3 linked regions of the Coturnix japonica genome follow. The protein of the gene in region 1 purifies or fractionates together with the protein of each later gene. This does not show direct contact. Links are inferred from orthologs where the notes say so. Each region holds a gene or a part of one and is shown on either strand. Other genes may lie near its edges.

Region 1 (3,746 bases):
GGACCAGAGCCCTGCACTGTGGGGCTGCTGGGCTCCCTCCCAGCCCTGTGTGTGGAGATGGGGCTGCATCGTGCCCTGCCTCTGGGGTTACATGGCGATGGGGCTGTTTCTCTGTTTGCCTTATCACTCCTGTGGCTGTTTACAGACTTTTTAATGTATTTTCTTTCATTTTAAGTGCAAAACAAAACCAACCAAAAAAAAAAAAACAAAACAAAAACGAAAAGCCTGGATGACCTTGACTCAATAAAAGTGAACTTGTGGTGCGTACCTCAGGCAGGCCCAATGTGCTTTCTGCATCGCTGCGTTGCTTCGTGGTGGGAGAGACCTCAAAACTCCAGCAGGACCGGCTGTGGGGGCACAGCCCAGGGTGACGGGGCGGTTAATGTCCCAGTATTACGGTATGATTAAGGTTAGGAGAGCTCCGCCCCAAACCAGCCCGGCCCGTCCCCTCAGGGCCAGCACAAAATGGCGGCCCCTCTGGACCATACCACTGCGCCGCTGCTGGGGGGGGCACGGCACGGACCGCACCACTGCCCAGTGATGGGGGGGGGGCAGCGCAGTACTTTAGTCCGGCGCTGGGGGGCGTGTTGAGCGGGCCGTACCACCGCTATGTAGTGGGGGGGGGGGGCGGTTGGCAGGACCACACCACTGCGGGGAGGGGGAGGGGGAGGCAGTTGGGGGCTGCTCCCCCCGCCCGTCGTTCCCTTTGGCGCTGCCCGCTACTTCCTCTTCCTGCCTCGTGCTGATTGGCCAACCCGAGCGGCCAACGCTTGTTGATGGCCGAGGCGCATGCTCCAACCCAGGCACCCGCCGGCTCCCATTGGCCCGAGCGCTAGGACGGATTCCGGATGGCTTCGACCAATCAGCGTTCGCTCCTCACTCGGCGCTCAGGGACGGCGGAACGCTCTGTGAGGGTGAGGCGCGCCGATTGGTCAGCCTTCCCGTAGCCGTGCGCTCCGATTGGTGGAAAGCCGTGCGGAGGGGCGGGACCTTCGGCGCGTTCCTCCCCCTCCCCCCCCCGCTGTGGTGCCGCGAGGGGGCGGGGGAGGGGAAAGGCCGCGACGTGAGCGCGCGACCCTGTCCGCCATTTTGTAGCGCAACGGCGGAGACCAGAGGAGAAAAGCGCGAGCGGCCGCAGCCCGGCGCCTTGCTCCGGCCCCGCCGCCACTGAGGTGAAAGCTGCGGGCTGGGCCGCGGGTACCGGGGCCGTCCGAGGGGGGGAAGCAGTTGGAGGGGGAGGGGAAGAGTATGGCGGAGGTGCGGGGCCGGGCGGGAGGAGCGCGGCCTGTGAGGCCTGAGGCGTTCGTTGTGTGGGGGCCTGCGGCCTAGCGCGCCCTGCAGCCTCCCTAACGCTGCTCTGTGCTGACAGAGCGGAGCGGCCCGGCCCAACTCGGGCTGCCCCCCCCCTGTTCCCCCTTCACCCCCCGTTCCCCCTCCGCTTTCCTCCAGAGGCGGATGAGGGTCCTGTGTTGAGGCCCCTGGGCCGTCCCCTGTCTCGGGGTTGGCTGTGGAATCGCTCCTGCCCGGCTCGGTGGGCCCGGCTGAGCCCGCAGCATCACAGCGCCGCGGGGCAGGGAGCCGTGCTGCCGGGAGGGGCCGCAACAGTTGGCTGTGCTGCCTTGGTTGGATTAGTTCTGAGTCTTTGAGCGGACCTCTGCGAACAGCCCGGTTTCTGACTATCAGCAGATCACGAGTGGTTGGTTTGGGCTGATTTGTGCCTGTGTTTACAACAGAAATGAGGTAGCGTTAAAAAAAAACAACACACGGCTGGTACTTGAAGGCGTTGGAGCTCTGGAGCCGGTTGCCCAAGGAGCCTGTGGAGTCTCCTTCTCTGGAGTTACTCAAGGCCCCCCTGGCCGCTTTCCTGTGTAAGCTGCTTTAGCACGGGGTTGGATTGGAGGATTCCCAGAGGTCCATCCCAGCCCCTGCAGTTCTGTGATTAGTTTTTAGACACATCTCCAACTCACACCTGGCTCTGACCTTTCAGAAGGAAGTGTGCCATCTGCTCTCAATGAAACTTTCTTTTCCTCTTTTAAAGCAGGCAGCAACACAGGTGTGACCCTGATAAGTCGCTCCTAGCGCATGTAATTTGAGTGTTTCCTGTTTCTAAGGTAACCACATTGGCACTGACTGAATTCATAGGTGGGTCAAGCCTGGGTGAGGTGACTGTCACAACCAGGAAGCACACTGAGCTGGTAGTGAGTACATAGTGGAGTGTGACACTCTTTCTAGAGCGTTCTTCCCTGTGTGTGTTGTTTTCTGGCATTAGCCATTCATCCTATTGGCCTGCTTTCTTGAAGACAGGCTCACAACAAAATCACTTTATCACTCTCCTCTTTGGAGAAATACCTCATCGTGATTATCCATGTAGTGTAGCACAACCCAGAGTTTGGTTTAAAGTCATTTTGGAGTTGTTTTTCTCCTTACGTAGCTGCTAAATGTGTACTTGGGATTTGTTTTTGTTCTCCTCAGCAGTGAGGTTTGTTCCTCCTCCTCATCTGCTTCAGGTTAGTAGGGAGTGTTTGAACCTGTTGAAGTGTTTTGGCCACACCTGACTACTGGTTACATATTAGCCCTCTCTATCCTGTGCCTTTGGATTCTAGCCTACAATTGTATCCCACTTATACTGTAACCCAGCAGAACTTTGCAGCATTGAAGTGTTCCATGAGCTGCCCAGTCGTGTGTCTGAGGTCTCATTCAGTTACTCTATCGTAGTCCCTATAACTGCAAGTAGCAGTTTGGGTAGGAGGGTCCAGGCCTGATTGTTCCTAACCTGTCCAGGATGGAGATTTGCCCCAAGCTCTCAAAGCTGCTTGAATTCTTGAGGCCAGGGTGGGGGGATTGGTTCCGACTAAGAATATGCGCATCTAAAAATAAAGCCTGCCTTGCATAGCATTCATAGCTTCCTTAATCAGTCCCATAGAAATTTAAGTTCGGTCTTGCATACAATGGCCAGGGGGGTACCTGTGCCCTTCTGCTGTGCTGGGTTTTGGGTACTGCGATAAGTTTGGGCTATTGGAAGCTTTGAAGTGCTGTCAGTCTCCTGCTGGTGGGAAGCTGCAAGTAGCTGTGTACTGCGATACATACCACGCCAGCCATATATTTAGAATGTAGATAGGAAGCTGCTTCCTTCAGCTATTGTGTTCTGCCCTTGAATCAGGCTTTGCTTCTGCTTCCTTGGAAAGGAAAGCCCTGCTTTGACTGTAGTGTTGTGCACACAGAGTTGGTGGTCTCTGCTTTCCAGTGATGCTGTAGCTGGGCTGTGTCTGTGCTCTGCGGGGCTTAGTGCAGCAGCACGGAGGGTCAGGCTGTAGGCACGTGCTCTCCTGTGGCTCAGCCCAACTCTGAAGTCCTGGGATACAGAGGCTGATGTGCGGTGGGGTGAGTGTTGTTGTGCTTGTATGTGCTTGTATGGCCAAAGCAATGCCATTTCTCTTACTAGCAGCCAGAGATGGAAACTCTGAAGCTTGACTTATTGGCTGAAGAATGATCAGGTTGGGGAACTGCTGAGCAGCCCTATAACCTCTGTGCCCCTCCCCCCCCTTTCCTTACAGCTTCAGTGCTTCCACCCCTGGGAAAGGAAACAACAGGGCTGCATCCCAGAGCCGCTTCCCTTAGGATTCCTGCGACTGCTGGTTGTGCAGAACTTGCTTTGGGATGCAACCGTATCGTGTTGGCAATGTGTGATTTAACAGATGAGATGTCAAGTGCCAAGATTCGTGTTGTCATAGGAATCTATTAAGCTG
Region 2 (3,698 bases), on another chromosome or scaffold:
ATTGATTTTAGTATAATAACTTGCTAATACATTCTCCGCCATGCTAAGAAAACTGGGGAACAAAAAATTCTATCAACCAGTTTAGCAGTTATGTGGTAGAAGAGAAGCTTGGGCTTGGCTGTGTCTTACCAGAAAAGCTTGTAATGCACTGCTCGACAACTCCTTCTCCTGATCAGTGATTCCTGAAGTACCAGCTCCATCGTGCTTCTCAGCACCTTGGTCTGACAAAGGATGATAGAAAAGTTTGTAAACACAACAGAAGTAATTCAGCTCAAAAAACATTGTTTGTGCCCGTTCTCAGGATCCTCCTGCCAGCTTGTAGGGAACAGCATTAAGAAAATGCTGCAACTATAGTTTTGCTATGTTCCCTTCTAGATGAAGACCAGTCCAGCATGTAAGGTTTTATTTGTGATGGTTTGAGCAGTTGTACAGTAATCTAACATGGTTTTAATTGTCTTCAATTTCTTTGCAATAAAATTCAAAACTACTGGAGGGAAAACCAGAACAACCAGTGCCACACCAGACCAGCTTGTATCTAGAAACCTCAACTCACATGTTCACGTAGTGTTTTTGAAACAAAGATTATACACCTGCCATGGCTTCCACTGCTGCAGATAATTAATTCTTCAATTCCACAACAAGGCTTTTGCTTGAGCCCGTATTTTGCCATGTTAATGGGTTTGGTGGGCACTGTATATTCAATGTCTGTCTTTTCCTAGAAAGAAAGGATGTAATGCAAACTCTGCTAACTTTGTTTTCACACCAAACAAATGAGAACATTCCTCTACGATCTCCACTACAAAATACACTCCCCATAAGCACCAACACACCTGAATCATCCACTACTCACTGGCTACAAACACTTGAAGTTTATTTACGAGGATGGACAACAATAATAACCAGGCCTAGGGACATTCCCGATGTAATATCCATGGCAGGATCAAAACACAGTCACCATTCAGTTCCTGGGTTGCATTTGCTGCAGGGAAACACTTTCCACCATCCTACACAATCATACATTTCAGCAAGAATCTATTTGTTGCTTGCTGAGGCTTCCACCCTGCATCATGATGCCCATGAAGTTGAGATGTTAAAACTCAACCATCTTTCACCAGCGAGTCACAAAGCAATGGGCTGCGAAATGGACAAAACTCAGGGTACAGCAATTCTAGTACTTGGGAGGGATGGACTCTGAGGGTGCTACAGAACTACACACACCTACTGTGAAATCTGACTGCACATAATTGGGGTGGTCAGCAGGGGCAGGGAGGTGATTGTCCCTCTCTACTCTGCTCTTGTGAGGCCCCATCTGGAGTACTGTGTCCAGGTGTGGAGCCCTCAGTACAAAAAAGACATGGAGATTTTGGAAAGGGTCCAGAGGAGGGCCACGAAGATGATCAGGGGGCTGGAGCACCTCCCCTATGAGGACAGGCTGAGGGAGTTGGGTTTGTTCAGCCTAGAAAAGAGAAGGTTGCGGGGTGACCTCATTGCAGCCTTTCAGTACCTGAAGGGAACTTACTCCCAGGAGGGGAGTAAACTCTTCGAAAGGGCTGACAATAGCAGGACACAGGGAAATGGTTTGAAGTTAAAAGAGGGAAGATTTAGGTTGGATGTTAGGGGGAAGTTCTTTACTAGGAGAGTGGTTAGGCCCTGGAACAGGCTGCCCAGGGAGGTTGTGGATGCCCCGTCCTTGGAGGTGTTCAAGACCAGGTTGGACGGGGCCCTGGGCAACCTGATCTAGTAAATGTGTATGTTTGGTGGCCCTGCCAGGCAGGGGGTTGGAACTACATGATCCTTAAGGTCCCTTCCAACCCGGGTCATTCTGTGATAATGCATTCACCAGTGGAACCTTTTCCATAAGGAGAGAGAAAACAAACATCAGAAAAGTTCAAAAAGCTTTGATGTGCCACAGTTTTCTCACAGACAGAGAGGAAAGGAACAAGAAGCATCTCTCCTCATACTAACCACGTAATAGATCTGACTCCTTAATATTTGTGGTAGAGAACCCACTGACTTTCAAGGACCTTTTTTAACAGCAATGAAGAAATAAATGCATTTTCCCTCCCACCATCATGCTAACAGATAGGTTATCTGCTTTACTTGCTCCCCAGGCCTCAAGGTTACACCAGCATAAGCAACAACAATGCAGATATGTGAGAATCGAAACCTTGGGACGTTTCTAATGCTCAGCCTGACCAGGAGCTCCCCACATACACAGGTTTAGCTCTCGGTAGGGCCAGGCAAAGCCGCAGCACTGGGTACCGCCTTTGTCTGGTAAGCAGGTAAAACAAGCAATATGGTGCTCACAGAGGTCTGAACCTTGATGTGACACATCTTTAGGTAAGCAAACAATAAATGAAAGACACTGTTAGCTGCCCAGGAAACGTGCCACTTACACAGCTACATGGTGTATTTCCTAGGGAAGCATCAGGGCAGCTCTACAGACTTCACTATGCCTCTACATCACATGTAGAAAGACAAAAACGAACAAGTGTTTTAAACAAAGCTCTCCTGCAAAGTCACTTTTATGGTTACAAGCTGAAGGCCGAGATCTCACACCTGTTAGCTGCACCTCCAGCGGCCATAGCCTCCAGGCCTTTCCGTACCAGTTACCAGAGCGTATCCCTCCGCCCGGGCCCACGGCCGTTCCCCCGCTCACCCGCAGTCTTGTCCGCCGCCATCTCTGCCACCGTTGCCACGCGAGACGAGACGTTCCCCTGCTCCTCCACCAAACACCGGGCCGCTGTGGCACTACTTTCCCTCCGGTCCCTACGCGCCGCTCCGTCCCTATTACCCGCCGCTTCCGGGTTGCCGGCGCCCACCGACGTGCGGCCGTTGCTGGGGACCGCGTCTGACGTCACGACGCCGCTGCGCTCCCCCCCTCCCCCCGGAAGGGGCGCCGTGCTCATGCGCCTCGCAACCTGGCTGCGTCCCCCCGGCCGCCATGTTGTTGGCATTGCGCGGAGTGAGGCTGGTCTGCCAGCCTTCTTAGAATCGTAGAATCATGAAATCGTTAACGTTGGACAGATGGCTAAGATCACATATTCCAGCCACCAGCACATCCCCACTATGCCCAGTGACCACATCCCTCAGTGCCATAATTTGAGGCCATTCCCTCCCATCCCATCACTGTTACCGGTGAAAAGAGGCTGACCCCCACCTCACCACAGCTCCTTTCAGGCAGCTGTAGAGAGTGATAAGGTCTCCCCTGAGCCTCCTCCAGACTGAACAGTCCCAGCTCCCTCAGCCGCTCCCCATAAGACTTGTGCTCCAGACCCCTCACAGCTTCACTACCCATCTCTGGACACACTATAGGGCCTCAATATCACAGATCACACAGAATCACAGAATCACAGAATGACCCGGGTTGGAAGGGACCTCAAGGATCATGTAGTTCCAACCCCCCTGCCTGGCAGGGCCACCAGACATACACATTTACTAGATCAAGTTGCCCAGGGCCCTGTCCAACCTGGCCTTGAACACCTCCAAGGACGGGGCATCCACAACCTCCCTGGGCAGCCTGTTCCAGGGCCTAACCACTCTCCTAGTGAAGAACTTTCCCCTAACATCCAACCTAAATCTTCACTCTTTTAACTTAAAACCATTTCCCTGTGTCCTGCTATTGTCAGCCCTTTCGAAGAGTTTACTCCCCTCCTGGGAGTAAGTTCCCTTCAGGTATTGAAAGGCTGCAATGAGGT
Region 3 (3,746 bases), on another chromosome or scaffold:
CTCCTCTGAACACATTCCAGGGCCTCGATGTCTTTCTTGCAGTGAGGGGCCAAGTTGGAAAAAACGCAAAGGAAGGCTGAGGGGAATTAAACGTTAAAAAACAGCCAATGTATAGCGTGGCACAACGCAAACAAAGGAACAGAATCACAGAATGACCCGGGTTGGAAGGGACCTCAAGGATCATGTAGTTCCAACCCCCCTGCCTAGCAGGGCCACCAAACATACACCTTTACTAGGTCAGGTTGCCCAGGGCCCCGTCCAACCTGGTCTTGAACACCTCCAAGGACGGGGCATCCACAACCTCCCTGGGCAGCCTGTTCCAGGGCCTAACCACTCTCCTAGTGAAGAACTTCCCCCTAACATCCAACCTAAATCTTCCCTCTTTTAACTTAAAACCATTTCCCCTAGTCCTGCTATTGTCAGCCCTTTCGAAGAGTTTACTCCCCTCCTGGGAGTAAGTTCCCTTCAGGTATTGAAAGGCTGCAATGAGGTCACCCCGCAACCTTGTCTTCTCCAGGCTGAACAAGCCCAACTCCCTCAGCCTGTCCTCATAGGGGAGGTGCTCCAGCCCCCTGATCATTTTCGTGGCCCTCCTCTGGACCCTTTCCAAAATCTCCATGTCTTTTTTGTACTGAGGGCTTCACACCTGGACACAGTACTCCAGATGGGGCCTCACAAGAGCTGAGTAGAGAGGGACTATCGCCTCCCTATCCCTGCTGACCACCCCTCTCCTGATGGAGCCCAGGATCCCATTAGCTTTCCGGGCTGCCAGAGCGCACTGCTGGCTCATGTTGAGTCTTTCGTCCATTAGGGCCTCCAGGTTTTTCTCTGCCGAGCTGCTCTCAAGGACCACTCCTCCCAGCCTGTACAGGAACGGCAGACTAGGACCCAAACTGCTCTCCCGCAGCCTCCCTCCACCTAACGCCCCTCAGGGGCCACCTCCTCCACGTGGCACAGCGAGGGCCGGCGAGGCCCGGCGCTACGCGGGGGTACGGCCGCGAGGAGCCGTGGGGCACCATAGAGGAGCCATGAGGGAGCCGCCAGGTCGGCGATAGGGCTTCCCGCTGCTCCCTCCCGCCCCCCAGGGGAGCACTTCAAAACCGCGCGCACCGCCCCCCTCTCCCCCTCCCCAGCGCCGGGCGTCACTTGGCCTCGCCGGCTTGCCGTAGCGGGGCTGCCGGCGCGCTGCCTCCCTCCCGCTCGCTCTCTCCTTCGCTCGCTCTTCCGTGACTTCCGTACAGGCGGCGCGGCGATGGCGCAGCACGGCCCGAGCGTCACGCTGTCCCTCACTCTACCCATCACCTGCCACATCTGCCTGGGGAAGGTAACGGCCCCGTGGCGGCCGCTGCCCGGCCCTCTCCGCCCGCACGTTGCTCGGGTGGGGGGAGGAATGCGGCCGGCCCGCGCCTGCTCGGAGATCCCGCCGTGCTCTATACGAACAGAGGGGGCGATCCCATCTGGGGGTGGGAGGAATCGTGGCCCAGGGGCTGCCGGCACCGTGCGGGTGGGGGGAACCCCGCGGGACGTCCCTGCGAGCCGTGAGGGCCACGGGCCCCGAGACGCCACTCCTCCCCCTTCCCTCTTCCACACACACACATACACCGCTCGAAACCCGGACTGCGGGTGTATTGCTTTCGGAGTAAAGATTTTGAGGTTTTGTCTTCTGATAGCTATGGGAGGTGGGGCAGCTTAGAATGCACGGCAGGTATGTGTGTGAGGGCGGTGTGAGGCCAGGTAGAACAAAGAAGAGGTGTAGAACCCGTTCAGCAGAATTACAGCTTTTGGAGTAAACGTGATTTTTTGGCCTGAGAGGGTCTCTGTCACATTCTCGTCTCTCTCAGAGCTGCTGGGTGTGTTTGGCTCTGAAACACCCTGGAGCCAGCTGCCATTGCTGGCTGTTTTGTGGGTTCTTTTCTTGCTCCCTATCGTTTTGTATGTTCCCTCTTAAAACACATCAGCAATCACAAGTGAAGAAATAACCTTCATGTTTGTACTGTGGTATTTACCACCCTCTTTATTCTTCCCCCACGTGGGTGTGCCTCTGAGGCCTGTTCTGCTTGCCCACGAACCAAAGAGGTGTGTTTAGTGCACGCAGCAGGTATGGCACTGGTAGTGGTAGTAGTTGGACACCTCTCTTGATTCAGCTGTCCACCTCGACAGTGCTGCTTCTGTCAACCACATGTAGTCTTTTCTTGCTTTTTCACTGAAGGCCAAGCAAGGCAGGAATGTAGTCCTTCTCTCTCCCTTATCTCTCCTTTTGAGTTTTTAATACAAACAGAGGAGAACATAAGTTTGCTGTGCATGTAATGCAAAGTGGATGCTCTTTGAAAAGTAATTTAAGTCTGATTGTGGTGATTTCCAACATAATCTAAATGTGGATGCCCCATCCTTGGAGGCATTCAAGGCCAGACTGGATGTGGCTCTGGGCAGACTGGTTTAGTGGTTGGTGACCCTGCACACAGCAGGGAAGTTGAAACTAGATGATTTTTGTGGTCTTTTTCAACCCAAGCCATTCTGTGATTCATTCATACTCTGCTGTAAGCCCACTTGCTCATTTCAAGCCATTGCTTCATTCTTTCTCATCACTTCTGGAACTGACCAGGAATTGAGGTAGTTGAGTTTGTACTGGAAGAGATTTCTGTACTTTTCTTTCTTGGTATCTCACACTTGAGATAATGTCTTGAAATTATGTATGCGAATCCAGTGATGACATCTATATTGAAGACTTTTGGATACTTCCTTTATCAGATGCATTAGGTTTTGCCAAAGCTGTCTGCTGTGGCTGTCCTTTTTCTTTTAATACAAATCTTTGTCTCCAGCTTGAAACACCACAGAAAAGAATCAGAAAATAACCCTTCTCTTTTCAAGAGTACTTTTAGAGGGGAATAAAGAGCTATCTAGCATGAATAAGGGAAAATCATACTATCTTATAGAGTAGAGCAGAAGGGGGTTCTGGGGCTTGACAGGTTTTGGTCTTTGGTATTTTGTAACATGAACTTCAAATGGGATATAAAGCCAACACTGCAGTCAGGACATACTTGTTGCTATCTCCAAAACTTGTAGAGGATTAGTGGCAAAACAGTGGTTTCACTGTGTATAGTGGTAAGGGGTTAAAAAGAGGTGTTAAGTAGAAACTCCAGTATTGTCATCCACATGCTGTATCTAAGGAAGCAGAGTTCTTTTGGGGTGAGAACATTAGTGGATTTCGTTAGCACCAAGTATATCTGCAAGATGAGTGAATAAACATAAAGAATTAACTGCTTTTTTGTAATCAATGTTCTTTTAAGGTAGTCTGGGCTAACTTCTTATATTCGTAATTGGCAAGTAGATCAGAAGCTGCATGAGTTCTTCAGGCATCCCTGTTGCAGGTTGACTGAAGGTCTCATCAGATTGATTTTAGCAGTGATTTGCTTGGGTTCAAGCATGAGGTTCTGGGTGCACTGAAATCTCTGAGGGTGTCCAGGGGTTCATTCTCTGATATCAGTGTACTTATTTTCCACATGCCTGCTCCTCAGTTCATACTGCTTGAAGGTCCAGAAGAGCCTTGAGTGTGGTGTAGATGTATATGGGATTAGATTTTGATCCATGTAAGAATCACATTGTGTGGCAGGAAAAAATAGGACAATACTCAAATTCTCCTTAGCTGATCAAGCCTTTTCAAATAAGCTGTAGCCTTTCCAGTCACTGCAGTCAATTAAGGAACTGAAAACGTGCTGTAATTCAAGTAAAATGCTTTTTAGTAATGT

The links. Proteins that work in one complex are often made in the same cells at the same time.
Region 2: the proteins of CNOT1 (region 1) and CNOT10 purify together in Homo sapiens (affinity purification with mass spectrometry; 4 studies listed by BioGRID and IntAct, with this or other methods). This does not show direct contact. The link is inferred for Coturnix japonica from reciprocal best matches to the Homo sapiens genes CNOT1 and CNOT10.
Region 3: the proteins of CNOT1 (region 1) and OBI1 purify together in Homo sapiens (affinity purification with mass spectrometry; 3 studies listed by BioGRID and IntAct, with this or other methods). This does not show direct contact. The link is inferred for Coturnix japonica from reciprocal best matches to the Homo sapiens genes CNOT1 and OBI1.

What each region holds. Positions count from the first base shown.
Region 1 is NC_029526.1:1,151,613-1,155,358, forward strand, and holds the start of CNOT1 (CCR4-NOT transcription complex subunit 1), read left to right. Parts: upstream 1-1,037; 5' UTR 1,038-1,172; intron 1,173-3,746.
Region 2 is NC_029517.1:37,319,704-37,323,401, reverse strand, and holds the start of CNOT10 (CCR4-NOT transcription complex subunit 10), read right to left. Parts: upstream 2,862-3,698; 5' UTR 2,682-2,861; coding exon 2,660-2,681; intron 222-2,659; coding exon 130-221; intron 1-129. UniProt on the Homo sapiens protein: Component of the CCR4-NOT complex which is one of the major cellular mRNA deadenylases and is linked to various cellular processes including bulk mRNA degradation, miRNA-mediated repression, translational repression during translational initiation and general transcription regulation.
Region 3 is NC_029516.1:137,625,481-137,629,226, forward strand, and holds the start of OBI1 (ORC ubiquitin ligase 1), read left to right. Parts: upstream 1-1,139; 5' UTR 1,140-1,252; coding exon 1,253-1,324; intron 1,325-3,746. UniProt on the Homo sapiens protein: E3 ubiquitin ligase essential for DNA replication origin activation during S phase.